Linked DNA regions of Arabidopsis thaliana. The gene in region 1 interacts genetically with each later gene. Each region holds a gene or a part of one and is shown on either strand. Other genes may lie near its edges.

The links. Genes that interact genetically often act in the same process or in processes that back each other up.
Region 2: changes in AT1G27695 (region 1) and ABCI14 are lethal when combined (synthetic lethality), as found in Arabidopsis thaliana (one study listed by BioGRID).

The regions. Positions count from the first base shown.
Region 1 is NC_003070.9:9,636,092-9,641,808, forward strand, and holds AT1G27695 (glycine-rich protein), read left to right. Parts: upstream 1-2,932; 5' UTR 2,933-3,031; intron 3,032-3,055; exon of another isoform or gene 3,056-3,116; 5' UTR 3,117-3,122; coding exon 3,123-3,162; intron 3,163-3,237; coding exon 3,238-3,282; intron 3,283-3,609; coding exon 3,610-3,642; intron 3,643-3,753; coding exon 3,754-3,911; 3' UTR 3,912-4,113; downstream 4,114-5,717. Other genes in the region: AT1G27690 (lipase, putative (DUF620)), read left to right, coding at 590-991, 1,234-1,584, 1,668-2,216; AT1G27700 (Syntaxin/t-SNARE family protein), read right to left, coding at 4,303-4,328, 4,428-4,614, 4,709-5,197, 5,274-5,388, 5,585-5,661.
Region 2 is NC_003070.9:6,844,000-6,850,276, forward strand, and holds ABCI14 (trigalactosyldiacylglycerol 1), read left to right. Parts: upstream 1-2,338; 5' UTR 2,339-2,471; exon of another isoform or gene 2,472-2,543; 5' UTR 2,544-2,629; exon of another isoform or gene 2,630-2,731; 5' UTR 2,732-2,812; coding exon 2,813-2,859; intron 2,860-2,949; coding exon 2,950-3,955; 3' UTR 3,956-4,123; downstream 4,124-6,277. UniProt on the Arabidopsis thaliana protein: Required during embryogenesis. Permease involved in lipid transfer from the endoplasmic reticulum (ER) to plastids, and necessary for thylakoids formation.

The DNA of each region.
Region 1 (5,717 bases):
TGAAATAAAGTATTATATATATATATATATATAATGATTAACATATTATCAACTTTTATGAAAAAATCAAAACATATTAAGCAACTCCTTTTAACTCGTTGTTGTGGTCACAAACTGTAACAAGTTTTCTTCTTATCCAATGTGGAACGAGTTAGCCCAAAAAAAAGACTTGAGAGAAAGAAGACAAATATGAATGTTTTATGTCTTATAAATGGAATGTAAAACCATTTCAATAGAAAAAAATAACAAAAAAATTCTTATACCAATTTTCATAATTAAATCTTATCCCGAATCCCATTTGCCTGTAATAATGAGACTTTTAAAAGTTTTTATTCGAGAAGCAGTGATTCATAATTTCAACGATGTCGAGAAAAAAAATGTGTATAACCCTAAATAATAGCCAAAATAAGAAAAGAATAATTAAATTCCAAAAGAAATGGTTAAAAAAGCGAATTAACGAATTAAATTCGACATTTATATTTTGCAACCTTCCCTTCGACGCAAACATTTCTCTCTTTTTTCTCTAATCACCAAACCTGCGTCTTCTCTCTCACACTACTAACAACACTTCCTTCTTCTTCTTCCGACTATGGATAAGAAGCACGGCTTGTTCTCCAAGTCTAATTCCCGGCGACCACGATCCAAGAGTCCAGTCAGAAGCGTCTCTCCGATCATCATCCGTCGCCGGAAAGGCCGTTACGTCACACAACCGGACCGGCACATGTCTGAGATGCTTGCTCCGGTTATAGAAGGTCCTGATCCAGACGCTGAAGACTCCGGAAGCAGTGGTGATTACTCTAGGTTCGAGAGACGTTGGTACAATTGGATGAAATGTCAGCTTCCGGTGGCTCCGCCGTCAGTATCGTCCTCTTCGGATTTCAAACGAACGGATCTGAGGCTTCTCCTCGGTGTTCTTGGCGCACCTTTAGGTCCTGTGCACGTTAGCGCTCTGGATCTCCTTCCACACCTCAGTATCAAGAATACACCTATGGTGAGCTCTTAATTCACTGTTGTCTCCTCAAAATTAGGACAGTGTTGGGGATTTGGAGTTAATCATGTTGAATTAAGCTCTTCTGTGCCATAATCTAGCTTGAATTTAGCTGAATCTTCTTTTAGTTGCCTACTAATTACGGAGAAAGACTGCGCAATTAATTGAGATTTATCAAGTTTTATCTCTGCTTTAATGTGTTGAGGGTAAAGTCTAATGACTCTTACTAATACTTGAATTTTCAGGAGACTTCCTCTGCTCAGTACATACTTCAGCAGTATACGGCTGCATCAGGAGGTCAAAAGCTTCATAGTTCTGTGCAAAATGGATATGTTATGGGAAGAATCAGGACGATGGCTTCAGAGTTTGAGACAGGCTCAAAAGGTTCAAAGAGCAAGAATAATTCGTCAAAAGCTGTTGAGTCTGGAGGATTTGTGTTGTGGCATATGAATCCTGATATGTGGTACATGGAGCTTGTTCTTGGTGGGAGCAAGGTTCTTGCAGGTTGTGACGGGAAGCTTGTGTGGAGACACACACCATGGCTTGGACCTCATGCTGCAAAAGGACCGGTTAGACCATTACGACGTGCTCTGCAGGTTAGGCCTCTTGTCCCAAGGAAGCCTTCTCATACACTTTTCTTTGCTTGCATAACTGAATTGTTACTGTTGTCAACTTTCAGGGACTTGACCCGAGGACCACAGCGTATATGTTTGCAAATGCAAGGTGCATAGGAGAAAAAAAGATCGATGGAGAAGACTGTTTCATTCTCAAGCTATGTGCAGACCCGGCAACACTCAAAGCTAGAAGCGAAGGGGCATCAGAGACCATAAGACATACGTTGTTCGGTTACTTCAGCCAAAAAACCGGTCTGCTTGTTCACTTAGAAGACTCCCAGCTAACCCGAATCCAAAACAATGGAGGCGAAGCGGTTTACTGGGAGACGACCATCAACTCATACCTAGAAGACTACAAACCTGTCGAAGGTATCATGATAGCTCACTCTGGTAGATCCGTGGCTACGCTTTTAAGGTTTGGAGATATGTCATCAGGACATAACACTAAGACCACAATGCAAGAAGCATGGGTCATCGATGAAATCTCGTTCAATGTCCCTGGCTTGTCTATAGATTGCTTCATTCCACCTTCAGAACTCAGATTTGATTCCCACGTTGAAGACTTATCTCAAGGCCCCAAAATTAGGACATTGCACGGCCATAAAAATGGTTGATGTGAAGAAGCAGGAGATCAATGTGTATAACTCATTCAAAAACAAACCCTAGACCGGTTATTTTACTTTTGCTATTGTCGAAGCTAAAATTCTTGTAGGAAGTTTCGTTGAAGTTGTAAATAGACAGCAGGAGAAGTTCGTTCTTTTTGCCGCATAATGTTAGGAATGTGTAGTCTTAGTAAGGTCAGTCCAATTTTTAGTTTATAATATTGTTTCATATACTATGATAGAAGCTCCCATCTATTTCACCTAATAGCATATAGTATAAAGAAATATTACTTGGTCATCCATACCAATTGGAACTGATGAATACGATCTTCCTTGTATTGTATATCAATAAATTCATAGTGTGAGTGTAGTTTCTTTTGTAGCACAAACTAGTAAATGTTATTTCTCCTCCTACTGTCTATTTCAAACCGTTGCTCATTAGTTTACTCCAAAAAATGGCCATAAGTACTTATCTGTTTGTCTGTCTCAACCATCCAAATCCTATTTGTGAGTTGGATTTCAATGGGACATGAGCATTTTTGCATATGGATTGATCCATTTGCTCACTAGATCGTTTTATTTTACTGTTGACTGTTGTTGACCTTGAGAAAAAGAATTAGGCCGGTTCACTGTTGACCAAATTCTTTTACATAAAATCATTTTGAAAATAATCCCGGTTCATTAGTTAAACCGGTTCGATTAATTTGGTACGTCTCTAAAACAAATCGTCTTCACCTTTCTTCTCTTGCTTTCAGGGCTTGCGATTTTAAGTGGGGGAGGTAGAGAGAGCAATCTACCAGATTCACCGATTACCAACAACAAACAAGGTATCATCGGGTAATTCAGATTCGCAATTTCTGCTCATTTGAATTTATAGATTCCTAAATTGGTTTCTTTTTTTTTCTTGTGAAGATCACTATGGTGCTCTCTGACTTCACTGGAGTCGGTGTTGGATTTGGTAATGCCCCCATTCGCAATTGTTTTCTCCTTTTAATTTTGATTGGAATCGTAATTTAGTTATTGGAATTCATAGGGTTCGGTGTTGGTTGTGGATTTGGCGTTGGATGGGGTTTTGGAGGTTCGTTCTCAACTTCTCTCTTTTTCTGCTTTTACTTGAACAAAATCTGGACTGAATTACAAGATAATTCTATTGGAACAATTCTCTTGCTAGTTGCTATGGGATGTGCAATGCACTCTGCTGTGCTTGTTTAGTTTTGTGATCATATTGCTTAATGTCTCTTATAGAGATTATCAACTCCTACATATCATCTTTACTCAAATGCTTCTTCTTTCCTAGCTAATGGTTGCTTAAACGCATAGCTAGTATCAGTTGCGCTTACATTTTGATGGATTCATACTATTTTGCAAACCTACTGAATTGGAGATTTCCGTTGCTTTCATGCAGGAATGCCTATGAACATCTTAGGTGTTGGTGCTGGTAAGCATTTCAAACTTCTACTTCAAATATCCCACACTCGCATAGATACACACCGAGCAGGTTTTTCCTAAATTCTAATTACGTAACTTATGCGTCTGGTATTTGACAAAGGTGGCGGTTGCGGGGTGGGTTTGGGCCTCGGGTGGGGTTTCGGGACTGCGTTTGGGAGTCACTATCGTTCATCTAGACTTACATTTCAAGGCATCGAGTTAGAGACTGCCGATAAACGGGAGGAGGTGGTGGCTAACATGTCCAAAAACTCCACTTAAGCAGTCGTGTGCTTCAATACTCTGCTCGGATTGATTGTAAAAGAATTCTGACACCTTTTCTTATTTCTCAATGAAACGGTTACTTCAAATAATCCAATACGAAATGCATTTCTGTATTCTGAATTGTCATTTTTAGAAGGTTCCACTTCAATCTTGGGTTTAGTCCCAAATAATTCTACAATGGTTAATAGGATTGGTGCCTAAGAAAACAATGATTGCTCAATGAAACCCGTTTCAAATAATCGAACCAAAAAAATGCATTTCTATATTACAAACAACCAAAAACAGTTGGAATTTACTGTACAGTAAAAATGTGGATTGCCAAATTCGTCTCTTTCGCTGTTACACAGAAGATGAATGAACTCGAACCTTGCTATTCCAAACCTCTCTTCTACATTGAATGCACTGCAACTACCACTGCAATCAGAAAAAAAAACAATTTATCTCAAAACTCAAAAGTGATGCAGTAAGCTTTGCGTTCTAAACATAAATGATTCAGAGTTCAGTAAATCTTACCAATAAGAAAAACTAAAAGAATAATCCAAATTGCAGCGTGAACCGATTTACTATATCGCATTCGATACTGAGACCGTTGGAGTTGCCTCTGTAGAGCTCCATACCAACCATGAAGCTGCTTTTCATAACAGTCCTCCTCACACTCCATACAACTCTTGCCCCTCTCTGAACATCCATTCATATCTTGCTGAGAAACAAAAAAATAAAAAGCATTTCTTAGCAAAGATTTTCAAAGCAGGAGGCAAAAATCTTGCGGTTGGAGATCGATCGATCAAACTTACTTGGTTAGCTTGGATAGGTAATAAAGCAGCATCAGAGTCTCCTTGACGATCTAAACCCTTCCACTTTCTATTGCAATGCTTGGACACAGGATCCATATAATTCAAGAATCCAGAGAAGCTAGGTACTTTCCTCGGAGGTCGAACCACTGGCTCATCACAAGATTTCTTCACTAAACCATCATCAGAAACCGCAATGTTCCAAGCACTGAATTCAGCAGCACTTGCAGTCCTTCTATGTCCATTAGGATTTGCTTTAGCAGATTCAGATGGACCAGTCAAGAAGAGAGCAAGCTCATTACGATCATCTTCATCCAAACGAACCCATCTCGGTGTTCCTTTCCCATCGGATTGCGCAGCTTCCTTGAGAGATTTCTCGATTTTCGACACTTGAGCTTCCATTACGAAAGTAAACTCACGATGCCTATCTCTAGTTTCATCACTCAAACGATTGTCATAGCTAGATTTGACAGCTTTTTGGAATTCATCTAACTACACCAAAAATATTACAGGTTTCATAAATCAACATTACAGATTAAGAATCTGAGTTCTGAGGAAAGAAAGAAACCTGCCATTTGGTGGTTCCAAGAGCTGCGTGAAGATCTCTATGAAGCTGCTCAGAGTCCCATACTTTTGAAGAGTCTCGTTTCCCATTGAGCCATGTCCTGTACGCTGACTCCATCCTACACATGAATCGAAGATAACAACACACATTGTGAGATTTCAGATCTAAGACTTGATTTGATTAATCAGAAATCGTAATCCCAAATCCGAAGCAACACGAATCGAATCGTCGACATTGCATCACCAACAATGAGAGTTTATGGTATCACAGATTCAAAACGAAAATTGGGAGATGAGGATCCGAAAAACGCAAACCTGTCGGCAGATTCCTGAACTTCTTCAGCAGCGGGAAAGAAAGGATCTTTCTCCCACCGATCCAAACTCGTCGTCATCACTTGAGCAGATGAAAAAAAACAAACTAATTTCCTAATCCTTGGAAGATGAGAAG
Region 2 (6,277 bases), 2.8 Mb from region 1:
TTGGATGTAGATTTGTTAAAATTAACATAAGATTGACGCTAAGGTTCCTCATTCCTAACCATCAGTTTGTTAGCTTAAAGAAAAGTGATAATTACGCTCTTTCCGCCTAGAATGGCTTTTTGTCTTGTTGAATATATAAAGGAATGAAGTGACTCAAAGCTTCGTGGTAAAGTTAAGATATAGAAACTTTATTCGTATACACTATGTAAATACACGCAATATCTCAACTACCCTTTAATAGTTGTGTTATCAAATAATAAAATATATAATATGAGAAAATATGTTAAACACCTTCCTTTTCGGTCTTAATTAATGATCAATTTTGTTAAAATCGTTACAAAAGGGATAAGAAACAATCACCAACAGAGACAAAAATAACATTACCAACACATATAATACAACTCTCATTAGTGAACACTCATGTAACCAAAACTGTTAACCATTAGCGTATGATTGAGAACGATCCTCCCTCATAAAATATGTGAAAGTTATCTAAGGGAATGTTAAGATATAGTTTTTGTTTTATTCAAACACCGTTAGTTAAACTTGAAAGCATGCATGCTAATGTTTGGGATTCGATCCTATGCGAGAGATCAATCTTAAGAGAGGTTAAACTTCACATTCAATAATGTACCGGGAATGGAGACTTCAAGAATCATCGGCTTGATAGACCACTAATAAAAAAATGACAAAAACTAGAACATCCAAATATATGTCGTTCGAAAATGTAATTCCGTAGCTAGCTTATACAATTCTATACACAGAAGATATTTCGAATATAGACACATATAAGATGTTGCGGTAATGCAATTTTAAGTGTAGTTGGACATGGATTGGTGAGAAAAGTAAAGTGAAAAAAAGAAATAATTAAGGAAGAGGGGGCTATAGCTCTGAAACCCTAGACGAAAGCAACACTGCATTGCCAATAGTAGAAACAGTGCGATCACGAGATTCAACTCATTCCTACTTTCTTACTTCTTAGTATCCACTCCACTTGTAGTACTAGCTAGCTCCCTGCCACGTGGTCCTCTCCTCTTCTTTTAGCTTTATGGGCCTTGTAAAGCCCGCGGGCCCCATCTGCCCATCCCATGCACATGCATCACATTATGCTTTCTCTCTATCTACGAAATTACGAATATAAGTATACGTATAGAACACTTTTTACAATAACCAAGGGTCAAAGTTTTCTCGAGTCGGAGGATATGAACTAAATAGTACATTGTCTACCAGCGAAGCTTGAACATGAGATCTTGAGACACATTTCCTTTGGAAGGTACTGAATTGAGTGTTCATAGCGGTTCAAGGAACTCGATTAATTTAAAATACCTGAATTACCATTTTTTTGGGGATTCGTTGTGCTTTTTTAATCAATCTACCGGAAATGAAGACAAGTTTTGCTAAAAACGTAACACTTGAATATTGTAAATTTGTAACATAAAACTCTAAAACCTTAACAAATTAATACCTCTAATTAAAATAGAATACTCATAAAAATATAAAATGTAAAAGATACAAATATTGAATATCTTCTAATATAATTCTAAGATGCGAAAGATATAGTAGTCGAATTAAAGCAACCAATTTCAGCGTTTCCTTAAACTTATATTTCCAAAATATCATCTAGGACAGTTTGTTTTTTTTAAGAATCGAGACCCTCTACTAAACTCTTGCATTCAATTTGGTAGAATCACGTTTTGTGTAGGAGAGAAGTAGTGCTTTTGGTTTGTAGTGTAGAGTAGGGTAAACGTGAGTATATAAAACGTAGAGAGGCATATATTATACAGAGAGTGTGCTTTTAAAGAACGGACCGGCTGAAGAAAAAGATAACGTTGTTGTCTCCGTAAAGGTTACCAAGTATCACTGTCACGTGACCACCACCATTCCTCTTTTCACATCTTTCTCCTTTCGATATTGGTTATATTATAGTTAAGTTAGCATTTAGTTAAATTTACTATATATTAGTAAGCAATGAAGGGGATATTAGTACAAATCTGGACATGAAATGTAGGCCTTTATTTGATTGATTGTCTTGGTATAAACATTTCATATAATAGCTTTGTAGATTTATACAACCAATTAAATAATTAACACTTTACATATACAGAATAACATAAAATGTTTAGATCATATATTTTGTCATTTTGGATCAATAGAGAAAAACACTCATTGTTATTTTCTTATTTATACTTTTCTGTATCAGTCTATGTGTAAAGTACAAGTGGACCTGCCGTGAATGGCATAGAGCCCACGCTTTACTTGTAAAAGTATATTGGGCTTTACGGCCCACGGACCAATTTATGTTTTGCCATTGGTTTTTTTTTTGTTTGTTTTGTTGGGAGTTAAACCCACACATCTTCTTCGCAACTGTTAGTTGTGTGTGTTGTTGTTGTTGGCACTGTGCCACTTTCTCTCTCGATGAACCCTCTCAAGCAAGCTTCTTCGATCTTCCGAGCTTAGTTTCGTTTCTAAATGTAAGTTTTCAAGTTTTTGTTTCAGTAAGAAGATTGATAGACCTAATTATTTGTTCCCCTTCTATATAGTAGAGATTTCACCTAGATTGGTCCGTACATATCTTATACTGGGATTCGAATTTGGCTGCCTCAGAGTCAGAGATTGATTAATTGATCAGGTCACCGGAAACTTTTTGTCTCGATTTGGATCTCTTATGCAAAATCTGTTGTGTCCTAATTCTATTTGATTGTAAATCAATTTGATTCTGGGTTTATTACAGATTCAGCTGTTGAAATCGTGCTTATTGCTACAAATTGAGAGGCACTAAATCAGTGAGGTCGTAAAGAAGAAGGCAACCACAATGATGCAGACTTGTTGTATCCATCAATCGTTTTGTTTCCCTCATAGGTATTTTGTGTTGCCATAAGTTTATAAGCTTTCTCATTTGCTTCATTGTCAGAATATGTTATTTTGGATTCTTGAATATTAATTTTGCAGAGTCTTTCCACGGTTTGATGCTTCGATTGGTATTAAGCCCCCAAAGCTTTGTCAAGTTGGTTTCATTGGAAAGACTCAATCTTATGGGATTTCAAGTCCGATACGGCAAAGAAGATTATATGTGAATTTGAATGCTAATGATGGTCACCCATCCATGTCTATGTTGGAAGAAGAAACCTCTACTGAAAACAACGCACCCAGTCAAGAAGCCGAGCTTCCGTTCAGCAAATGGTCACCTTCTAAGTACATATGGAGAGGTTTATCAGTTCCTATTATAGCAGGACAAGTCGTTCTCCGGATTTTAAAGGGTAAGATTCACTGGAGAAACACTCTTCAACAGCTGGAGAGAACCGGACCGAAATCTCTAGGAGTTTGTCTTCTGACTTCTACATTTGTTGGTATGGCTTTCACAATCCAGTTCGTTAGAGAATTCACTAGACTAGGTCTAAACAGATCCATTGGAGGTGTCTTGGCTTTAGCCTTCTCTAGAGAGCTAAGTCCAGTCATCACATCGATTGTTGTTGCTGGACGAATGGGAAGTGCATTTGCAGCTGAACTAGGGACAATGCAAGTCTCAGAGCAAACTGATACACTCCGTGTTTTAGGAGCTGACCCAATTGATTATCTAATCACTCCAAGAGTCATCGCCTCGTGTTTGGCTCTACCGTTTCTGACACTCATGTGTTTCACTGTTGGTATGGCTTCAAGCGCTCTGCTCTCTGATGCAGTTTACGGGATCAGCATTAACATAATCATGGACTCGGCTCACCGAGCACTTAGACCATGGGACATTGTGAGTGCCATGATTAAATCTCAAGTCTTTGGAGCTATAATATCGGTAATTAGTTGTTCTTGGGGAGTAACCACTACTGGAGGTGCTAAAGGTGTTGGAGAATCTACAACTTCTGCTGTCGTCATGTCTCTTGTCGGAATCTTCATCGCGGACTTTGTGCTTTCTTCCTTCTTCTTTCAAGGTGCTGGAGATTCTTTGAAGAACTGTGTTTGACATATTATTTTCTGTCTTCTTTTGTTGTGGTTTAGATGGGTTTATGTAAATCAGTTGTCTTAAATTGAGAAAGTAACATCATTTTAGAAAGAACAGAAAGATTGCTATATTTCTATTCCAATAATGATACACATTGAATAATCTTGAACTATATAGTTCATCGGAAAATTTGCAATCAGTATGGGCGGAGTTAAAATGTTATGCTATGAACTTATGACATAACATCTTATTTGACCAAGCAGATATAACATGGTAAAACCAAACTAGCTTACTTGACCAATAATCCAAAAAAAATAAGCATGAAGTTTTGAAAAAATGTTGAAAACTGGAAAAACTTGGCCAATCTCTTGACTTTTCTCTTCACCTGCCGCTTTGCATACGACTCGACGCTTCCTCAAAATGAACCATCTTTGTCCTACGAGGGTACGAGCCTGTCTCATCGTCTCGAGCCGCCAAACCAGCTTCTATAACCAAAGCTTCAAGATCAGCTCCACTAAAATTCTCACAACGCCTAGCTATAGCATCCAAATCAACACTTGTGTCTAAAGGAATCTTCCTCGCAAGAGATTTCAGAATCAAACCTCGTTGAACAGAGTTTGGAAGAGGTATATAGATATGTTTCCCAAACCTCCCTGGTCTTGTAATCGCAGGATCCATCATCTCCGGTCTATTCGTTGCACCAATCACAAACACTCCATCTCGTTCTTTTCCACCGCTCATTTCATTGAGCAACTGAGTCAATGGTCTTTCAACAACCCAAGCACCTTCTCCTGACCCACGTTTTGTTGTCAATGCATCAACCTCGTCGAAGAAGATTATGCACGGTGAACACATCCTTGCAAGGTTAAATAGCTCCCTAATCGCTTTCTCGCTATCTCCAACGTATTTGCTCAAAGCTCCGGTCCCTCGACACGGATAAAGTTGGTTTCTGCTTTGTTAGCCACGGCTTTGGCAACTAATGTTTTACCACAACCAGGTGGTCCATATAGCAAAAAATCCCTCCCTGAACAGAACTTGAATCCCTCGCACTCTTCTGGATATTTCAACGGTTTGATTATATCGCTATAAAACTCCTTTCTTATATGATCAAGACCGCCAATATCTTCCCATGTTACACTAGGAGTAGTAGAGAATCCTTCTCTTGTTAACGAAGGTTTAAACTTTTTCAATGCTTCCTCAAAATCCGAGATAGTGTAGAAAAGTTTCTCTATCACTTGTGGTGGAAATGGACATGGCTGCATACTCAACAAAGAATCAATATCAGTTCCAAGTTCTGATCCTCTTGATTTCACTAATCTCTCCATTGCCACATTTGCAGCTTCCTTAACCAAAAGTGCTAGATCCGCTCCAACAAATCCTGAAGTCTTACGAACAATCCTTGCAATATCAAAACTTGGGTCAAGAGGACGGTTCCGTAGTATCAAAGTAAGAATCTCTTCTCTTGCCTTCTCATCTGGCATTCCGAGACAAAAATCCTTGTCGAATCGTAGTGACCTTCACAAAGCTGGATCAAGAGCTTCAGGTCTATTGGTAGCTGAAATAACGATAACATGGCCGCTAGTTTCAGAACCAGACTCTCTCATCTTTTGAAGCATATACTCTTGGTCCATACAATTCATCAACTGTGTAACAATACGAGTCTCCATACCCTTTTGCTGATGATTATCCCTCTTTGACGCAATCGCCTCAATCTCATCGATAAAGATAATCGAAGGAGCAGTTCTATACGCTTTAGAGAAGAGTTTTCTTATATTCTCTTCAGATTCACCCGAAACACCAGAAACAACCTCAGAAGCAGAGATCATATGAAAAGGAACACCAGTTTCATTAGCAATGGCATGCACGAGCCAATGTAGACTTGCCACAACCAGGTGGACCATGAAGTAAAATCCCAGAAATTGGCTTCTCTTGAAGACGTTCATGCATTTCAGGAAAAAGCAGAGGATTCTTTACTCAATTCGTTAGGTCATGCAATATCTCCTTTAACCCACCAAGATCCTTAAATTTCTTACCTTTTTTATTCTTATTCCCTATCTCTAATTCCACATCTGAAACCCTAATATGTTTCCTTGTATCATACGAAGCCCTAAGGTTTTCATTTATCAAATCAAACTGTGGAGTTGACTTACCACTATCATCTAATACATTTCCGTCCCCACGGCATCAGACCACGACGATCCTGAAGGTGAAGCTGTGGCGGCTCTCTTCCGTGATTTTGATCTTGCATTGCTTTCTTCTTCGTCTTTGTCGCTTACATTTCTGGATTGAAGGGTTTGGTTGACGTTAAGTAGCAGAACATGACGACTCAATCGAGCCCATTCA